Stegostoma tigrinum: one gene and its partner. The protein of the gene in region 1 binds, or shares a complex with, the protein of each later gene. Links are inferred from orthologs where the notes say so. Each region holds a gene or a part of one and is shown in the gene's direction. Other genes may lie near its edges.

The links.
Region 2: the proteins of scap (region 1) and insig2 are in contact, whole or in part, in a cryo-EM structure (PDB 7ETW), measured with the Homo sapiens proteins. The link is inferred for Stegostoma tigrinum from reciprocal best matches to the Homo sapiens genes SCAP and INSIG2. Residues at the interface, in NP_036367.2 of Homo sapiens: Pro200, Ser206, Val282, Ala283, Glu284, Ile286, Pro287, Thr290, Ile294, Ala297, Tyr298, Phe301, Lys305, Tyr351, Val354, Val355, Glu359, Thr409, Leu410, Val411, Ser638, Tyr639; in NP_001308258.1 of Homo sapiens: Phe41, Val45, Leu48, Leu49, Ile51, Val55, Leu57, Phe58, Pro59, Val62, Ser65, Ile66, Glu104, Trp105, Ser106, Met109, Arg110, Val112, Ala113, Val114, Val116, Gly117, His120, Gln132.

What each region holds. Positions count from the first base shown.
Region 1 is NC_081358.1:98,290,746-98,294,664, forward strand, and holds the start of scap (sterol regulatory element-binding protein cleavage-activating protein), read left to right. Parts: upstream 1-1,620; 5' UTR 1,621-1,713; intron 1,714-1,725; exon of another isoform or gene 1,726-1,951; intron 1,952-2,118; exon of another isoform or gene 2,119-2,339; intron 2,340-3,919. UniProt on the Homo sapiens protein: Escort protein required for cholesterol as well as lipid homeostasis.
Region 2 is NC_081360.1:68,366,613-68,370,531, reverse strand, and holds the start of insig2 (insulin-induced gene 2 protein), read left to right. Parts: upstream 1-896; 5' UTR 897-1,009; intron 1,010-1,231; 5' UTR 1,232-1,416; intron 1,417-1,440; exon of another isoform or gene 1,441-1,921; intron 1,922-3,919. UniProt on the Homo sapiens protein: Oxysterol-binding protein that mediates feedback control of cholesterol synthesis by controlling both endoplasmic reticulum to Golgi transport of SCAP and degradation of HMGCR.

The sequences.
Region 1 (3,919 bases):
CTCCCCCTCCCAGGACGACGTGTCCATCCTGGGCCTCCTGCATTGCCACAACGACGCCACCCGAAAGCTGCACGAACAGCATCTCAGATATAATGGGAACTGCAGATGCTGGAGAATTCGACATAACAAAGTGTGGAGAGATAATGGGAACTGCAGATGCTGGAGATTCCAAGATAATAAAATGTGAGGCTGGATGAACACAGCAGGCCAAGCAGCATCTCAGGAGCACAAAAGCTGACGTTTCGGGCCTAGACCCTTCATCAGAGAGCTCTCTGATGAAGGGTCTAGGCCCGAAACGTCAGCTTTTGTGCTCCTGAGATGCTGCTTGGCCTGCTGTGTTCATCCAGCCTCACATTTTATTATCATATAACAAAGTGTGGAGCTGGATGAACACAGCAGGCCAAGCAGCATCTTAGGAGCACAAAAGCTGATGTTTTGTTTGCTTGGGAACCCTGCAACCCAAGGATATCAATGTAGACTTCACAAGCTTCAAAATCTCTCCTCCCCTGACCGCATCCCAAAACCAGCCCAGCTAGTCCCCGCCTCCCCAACCATTCCTCCCACCTCAAACCCCACCCCCCTCTCCTACCCACGAACCTCATGCCCCCTCCTTGACCTGTCCGTCCTCCCTGGACCGACCTGTCCCCTCTCTAACTCCCCACCTACATCAATCTTCACTGGCTCCATCCCCACCTCTTTGACCTTTCTATCTCCTCTCCACTTCTATCTGCCTTCCCCCCCTATTTATTTCAGAATCCCCTTCCCCGCCCCCATTTCTGAAGAAACGTCAGCTTTCCTGCTCCTCTGATGCGGCTTGGCCTGCTGTGTTCCTCCAGCTCTACACCGTATTGTCTCAGACTCTCCAGCATTGGCAGTTCATACTATCTCTGGCAATAATGAATTTAGCTCTTTGGATTTCCCTTCAGCAACTTTGCTGATATTCTTTTCTTCAAAGCTCATTCCATTTGACAATAATTTTGGTCATCAAATGGATATCTCAAACCAATTCAAAGACGATAGTTTTGAAGCGCTGCCACTCTTGTAAGAAATGTGGCAGTTTTTTTATACACAAACCTCCCACAAACATTAGTGTATACGCCAACGGGAAATCTGTTGTATATGTTGGTTGGGAAAGAAACATTGCTGAGGAGTGCTGGCAGGGGGACAGCTGTATGGCCGATTTCAGTTCACATATCAGCCTAAATGTTGGTAACACTGACCGTGTAAGATTTCCTGAGTGCCATGTAGATTGTACTCTGTAGGAGCTGTTGAAGACTTAATAAGCTGAACGGCCTCCATGTGCTGTACTTTTCCATGAATTACAGTGCTTTGTATCAAGTGCAAGTTGCTTTAGTTTTTATGTGGGTGATGCTGTCATTTTTTTCTCCTATCTTTTTTAATTGATGAGTCTGTCTTACGTTGCTCAGCGTTCTTTACAAACTATCGACTAAGTGAACAACACGTGCAAAAAGGCAAAATAAGGAACAAGTCTAACACTAGCTTCATGCTTCTTATTCCGCACATCAGGCGAGGCATGGGGATGTGGGTGGGGCTAACCCCGAAGCCTGCGGGAGATGGGCGAAGTTAGCCCGGGGCGTGCTATCTGCGAACGATGGGAGGGGTTGACCTGTGGGGCAGCGGATTGGAGACCGGAAGGACTGTAGACGCTGAAAGCCACAGCCAATAGATGTGGAGCTGGAAAAAGCACAGCGGGTAAGTCAGCATCAGAGCAACAGGAAAGTCCATGTTTCGGGCTGAAACCCTTCACAGAACTGGGAATGAGGTAAGAAGGGGGAGGGATCCTGGTGTAAATAGAGGGAGGTGGAGCTGGAGAAGAGATTACATGATGAAGGGTCTAGGCCCGAAACGTCAGCTTTTGTGCTCCTGAGATGCTGCTTGGCCTGCTGTGTTCATCCAGCCTCACATTTTATCATCTTGGAGCTGGAGAAGGGTAGGTTGGATGGTGGCGCAATAGTGTTAACCCGGAGCGCGCGGACGGTGGGCGGGGTTGAAGTGGAAAGCGTGTGGTGCGAAATGAGAGGGGCAGACGGGGGCGGAGTTAATAGGGGGAGCGTGCGGCTACGCTGGGTGGAGTTTGTGTCGGGGCCGGGGCCGCGCAGTTTGGGGGCGCCGTGCTTACCTGGGAGCGTGCGTGTGTAAGGGCGACGTTAATCCGGGCGCGCGCCAACGGTGGGTGGTTAACCCAAGTGAGCGGGAGCGCGCATCATGGATTTGCGTGTTACTGAGGAGACGCTGTGGAGTGGCATCTGAGCTGAAACACAGGGACTTCACGGCAGTTAATTATAACCATCGAGGGAGAGAAATTAAGCCACCAGCAGGTGAGAAGGTTTGGTAAATGTCACTGAATTCCTCAGCTTGAACAGAGAGGACGGCTGAGTTGAACTCTTTGAATAATTTAGTTTTCCATGAGATCAGCTAGGCCCAAACCTCGTCCTGTATTTTTACACTGGAGTGGCTCATGTACCTCGCTGCTTCACATCATGTTTTATTATTATGAGGGTTGTTTTTAATCGCTTTCTCGTAACTAAAAAGAGCATCATTCCATTCTGAGCTGACGCTTGCCAGTAAATTATTGTAGTGCCAATTAGCAATTACTTTTTCCATTGTAAATTTTGAATGTAATATCCTCCATGGAAATCCGGTTATTTTGTTTAAACGTATTTACAACAAGGCTTAAAATATTAGTTTTTCAAAACTTATTTATTTACTTTTGAAATCATGTCTTGATTTTTTTAACTCCTAAAAATAGGATCTACATTAATCTCACTTCACTAATTACTCTACTGTGAAATGATTGCATTTTGAATGGAAGGCTTGAAATTTCATTTTTAATTTGATGAAAATTAATCTTAAGTGATGCTTTGGCTATTCTGTCAAACACACCTTTCTTCCCATGAGATGGTTAGTCGTTATTCAAAATGATGTTAAGCATTTGAAAGATATAAATGTTCCCTATGCAGTTGCAGTCATAAGCACACCTTTTCATTATCCTTAACAATTTCTAACTTTCTTCCTTCCCGCACCCTGTATTGACAAATTTCTTTTGTGCCTTGCTTTAATGGAATGTTGGGTGTTTCTTCGCTGCCCCCACCATATATTTGTTTTAACACAAATATAGTTCTGATGGTATTGTTTGATTTATGAGTAGCCAATTTCTTTGTGCCCCATTGCGATTGCAAATTGGTGACTGTTATTTTTCTTTGCCTCCCTTTTTTTGTGTTTGGTAGGATGATCAGGTTTCTGCACAGATTAGGTGGTAAAAATGTGACCAGCATTTTGTTTTATGTGTGAAGGTTCCTCCAAATGTTGCAAGTTTTAAAATGCTACATTTTTGCCAAATGAAGATGCTAGTCTGTTGTCAAACAATTGAAACTACAGCTGAGAAACAAATACTTCATTGATACTTTGACTTCTTATTGCTTTTATTCTTTCAAATTCTAATTCAAAATACATGTATTTGATACATAATCGTGAACTTTTCCTTTGCTCTATGAGAATGACATATTAAAGTCCCACAAAAATCAATTACTGTCCTCATCATGAGCCATTTAGATTTATGTAAACTGATGGTCCACTGTCCTGTACAGCAATAAGTATTGATGCTTTTGATTGTTTTGTACTAACACCCATCACCAGGACCATGTTTATCATCTTGTTACTTTATCCAACATTTATAAATGCAGCCAATATCTCATTATTAAATAGTAGTTTTGTTGTCAAGACAATGAGACCCTCCTTCTACTCCCCTTCCTCAGCCTTCCTTTCCCCTCCTGAGTGTGTTATTGCCTCCTGAATTGATGTTATTTTACTGAGAGCACCAGTTTTAATCTCTTGGCAAAGTCTCAACTGTAACAATGGTAAACTATTCCTGCTTGTCCTGGTTCCACCCTTTTACTCA
Region 2 (3,919 bases), on another chromosome or scaffold:
TATGAAGGAGAAAACAGAGTTAATGTTTCGTGTCCAGTGACCCTTCTTCAAAACATTCAGAGGGACGCTGCCTGGACCGATTAATCAATGCCCAATGTAGTGAGGACATCTGATCGGTATTGTCCACAGCAGCTCAGAACTCCTGGTCTCAAGCAATCCAATAGTTTCACGTGCACCTGTAATCCGGCAATTCGCAGGCTGAGACTATCAGATTGCTTGAGTTCTGGGCTGCTGCGGACAATGCCGATCAAACTGCGTAGAACCATTGTTCAGTTAGAAAATCCAATTCACACCTCAACTGTAAAAGAACAATGAACTAGACTTAAAACAGTACCTTAATCCAGACATCATGGAGTCCGAACAAAAGTTGCTGGAAACGCTCAGCAGGTCTGGCAGCGTCTGTGAAGAGAAAATCAGAGTTAACGTTTCAGGTCCAGTGACTCAAGGCTTCAGCCTCTGAATTGCCGGATTACAGGTGTATATGAGGCTATCGAATTGCTTGAGGGGAGGAGTTCTGGGCTGCTGTGGACTATGCCGATCAGGTGTCCTCAGTAATTGTATCAGAGATAATGGGAACTGTAAATGCTGGAGAATCCGAGATAACAAAGCGTGGAGCTGGATGAACACAGCAGGCCAAGCAGCTTCTCAGGAGCACAAAAGCTGACGTTTCGGGCCTAGAAGGGTCTAGGCCCGAAACGTCAGCTTTTGTGCTCCTGAGATGCTGCTTGGCCTGCTGTGTTCAGCCAGCTTCAGACTTTGTTATATCGGATTCTCCATCATCGGCAGTTCCCAATATCTCTCATCGTAGTCTGAATGGGTCTGCACCAGCACGTGACCACCATAGGTTGTGGGGCGCGCGCACGCACGCAGACGGCCCTAATGCGTCATAACAGAGGAGCGAGCATTTGTTTTGTTCGTGTGCGCGCGTGGCCGTGGTTCGGCTGATCCGAAGCGGCGGTGGAAAGGGGGAGAGGCTTGGGCCTATCCGATAGCATCGGAGTATCCAGCGGTTTGTATTCACGGTGGTGGGGCGCGGGAGTGGGCGGTCGACCTGAACGGAATCTGGGTAAGAGTGTGTTCTGAAGCAATTTAGGAAGGTAGCAGGTGGCATGTCGGCCTAGGGCAGCAGATATTGGATCTGGTTTATGAGGTAGGGTGAGGTACTCTGGGCCACGGCGTATGAGGGGGCAAAGGCTTGGGCTAAGCCAGTTTTTTTTTGTTTGTAATGTAGGGAGCTCCTTTCTGGTCGATTGATGTTCAGTATTAATTAAAAGCCGCGAGTGCGCCAATGAGGAGTGAAGTGAACTCTCCGATGTGCCTATAACAGTGAGGTGATCCAGGTAGAGGACCTACTGAATGACTCTGGAGTCATTGTATCCTGTGCACACAAACGTTCCGCAGCACTCAGCCATCGAGGTAATTGCTATTCGAGTTTGTATTGTTTCATGAATCCACAGTGATACGAGGAAATATACTACACGTTGCGTCCGTGATTACTGAGACTCTCTCGAAACCAGGCTTGACACCGCATACCGGAAGAATGAGGTCGTGAAAGCAAATATTGATTTTGCAGTTGATGATTTCATGGAGAGGTTAGGTGACGAGGCTTCCCCTTTACTATCGTGAAGCAAGCCTTCATCATAATGGGATTCAAACTTAAGGCAGCACCCCTTCAATACGGTGCTGGAGTTTACTGAAGGGGATGTATCCTTGACATGTCGAATGGCCCCTGCTTTATTCAGTTTGATATGAAAGACCCCCTTGGTGATATCTGAAGAGGACTGAATAATTTTCTTTGGACCCTGACAAATATTTCCTTTCTACCAATACCAAAGAATAAGGAAAACTATTTCTAATTTCTTAGCTACAAGATAAAGACTGTAAAATTAATTCATTTTGTGCGAGCTGTTTTGGGATGCTGGTAAGACTGTAAATGATTGATTGTGTTATTAACCTAAAGGATTTAAAAGAAAACATGTCTATGCAGCCATTTGCTGTGGTGATATAAAGTTATGTGGCTAGTTGTGTGGCCTACTTTGGTGCCCTAGTTATTCAGAATGTAATTAAATTCAGAGGAGTGTAAACTATCCTCATTAAATATACTGTATTATTTCAAGCAATAAAATAATTATTAAATATCAGATTTGCAAAGTCAGGGGTCTAGACTTAGTTAAATGCATGCAGCTTAGAAATGTCAATAAATCTAAAATGACTGAGTTAAAAACAAAATGCTGGAAATCATGAGCATGCCAGGCAGCATCTGTGGAGAGAGCAACAATGTTAATGGGGTGTAATGAATTTTGTGGAGTGTGTAAAAATGTGAAACATGTTTTCTGGGATGAGTGAATTAGGAGAAAGCCACCTTTCTGCTCTTGATAAATCAAGTTGTGGTCATGATGGAGGACCTTGCTGTCCAGGAAGCTCTTTTATAGCTCATTTGTATCTTTTAAATTACCAGCAGATGAGGGCTTTGACAACTGTAAAGATTCCCCCATTGCATGATCTTGCAGGTTCCCTATGCACACCACTGGCACTTTGTTTGAATTGTAATCATGTGGGAACTAGCAAAAAGCAGGAGCATGAAAGTGAGAATAACTTACCACAGTTCAGATTTTGCCCTGCACTTCAAGTCAATGACCTTTTTATCAGGCTCCTCATTCTGAGTTTTGATGACGAGCCATCAACTTGAAATGTTAACATTGTACATCTGCAAAACATGAACAACTGCTTCGATATAAAACTGCCCAATTGCTGCTTTTTTGGGGTGTGAGGTGAAATTAATATTTAGAATTAGTACTTCTAACTGCTATACTGTATTTACTGTCTTTTTGTACATTTCGTCAAAGATTCGGGAAGAAATCAGCACTCATCTAAGTGGAGTATAGTTAAGGAAAGAATGAACCTACTTCTAAAAGATGACATTGAGAAATAAATTCAACAGTTTAAAAGTATTTTTCAACTGCAACAATGTCTTATATACGTAATGAGAATGTTCATATATGATTTCATTATTTTAGAACTGATGGCATACAAACCTAAAATTTTACTTGGCAAGTTAGTAGTCAGTGTTTTCTGCGCAAAGTTTATTAAGGCCATAATTTGAAACAATAAATAAACATTTCATAATTTATAAATCATTTGTTTCAGGCTGGTAGAACTTGTTTGTGGAATAATGCAGTTAGATCTTTTAGGTTAACCTGGCAAAGTGAATTGGATGTTCATTTTACATCGCTGTTGAAATAAGGCATCTTTGCAGAAAAGACTTGGTATAAAATACATGGGTTGACAAAATTATCAGCCAGTGGAGAAACTAGAGATCTTTTCCCAAGTACAGAGCAGATTAAATGTGAATGTATTGATATTGCATTAGTGTAGCAGCTTCAAAACTTCATTTTCATGTATTGGTGGTAACATTAACCAAATCTACCAACAGTAGTGGAAAAATAATTCAGCTATTAAGTTCCAGTTTCACGATCAATCTCAATTTTCTAAAGATGAAGTAGGTTTTTTTTAGGAAATATGAAATTCTTTAAATCAGGAATATGTGCCTGGTCATTGCCACTTTATTCCCTTCTGGTTTCTTGTGTTATGTTACATTTACTCCTCAAGAAGATCCACTTGGCATAGAAAAAGGTGAAGTTTTCATGTTGTTTGTGGATATGAAATTGGGATAAATTGAATATTTGATAAGACGGTGATTGTTATCAAGCCTTTCAGGTATTTAGCCTTTGCCTTTAAGTTATTTTGATCATTACTTGATTCTTTGCAATCCATTTGCTCATTTAAGGGATTGCTTGACCACATGGAATCGATATTTTGGAAGATGTTTGAGCAATAAAAACCTTAACAGGAACAATATCAAAACAGTATTTTCTTCAGGCACCTTTTTGAAATTAAAACACATGTATCTTTACAGAGG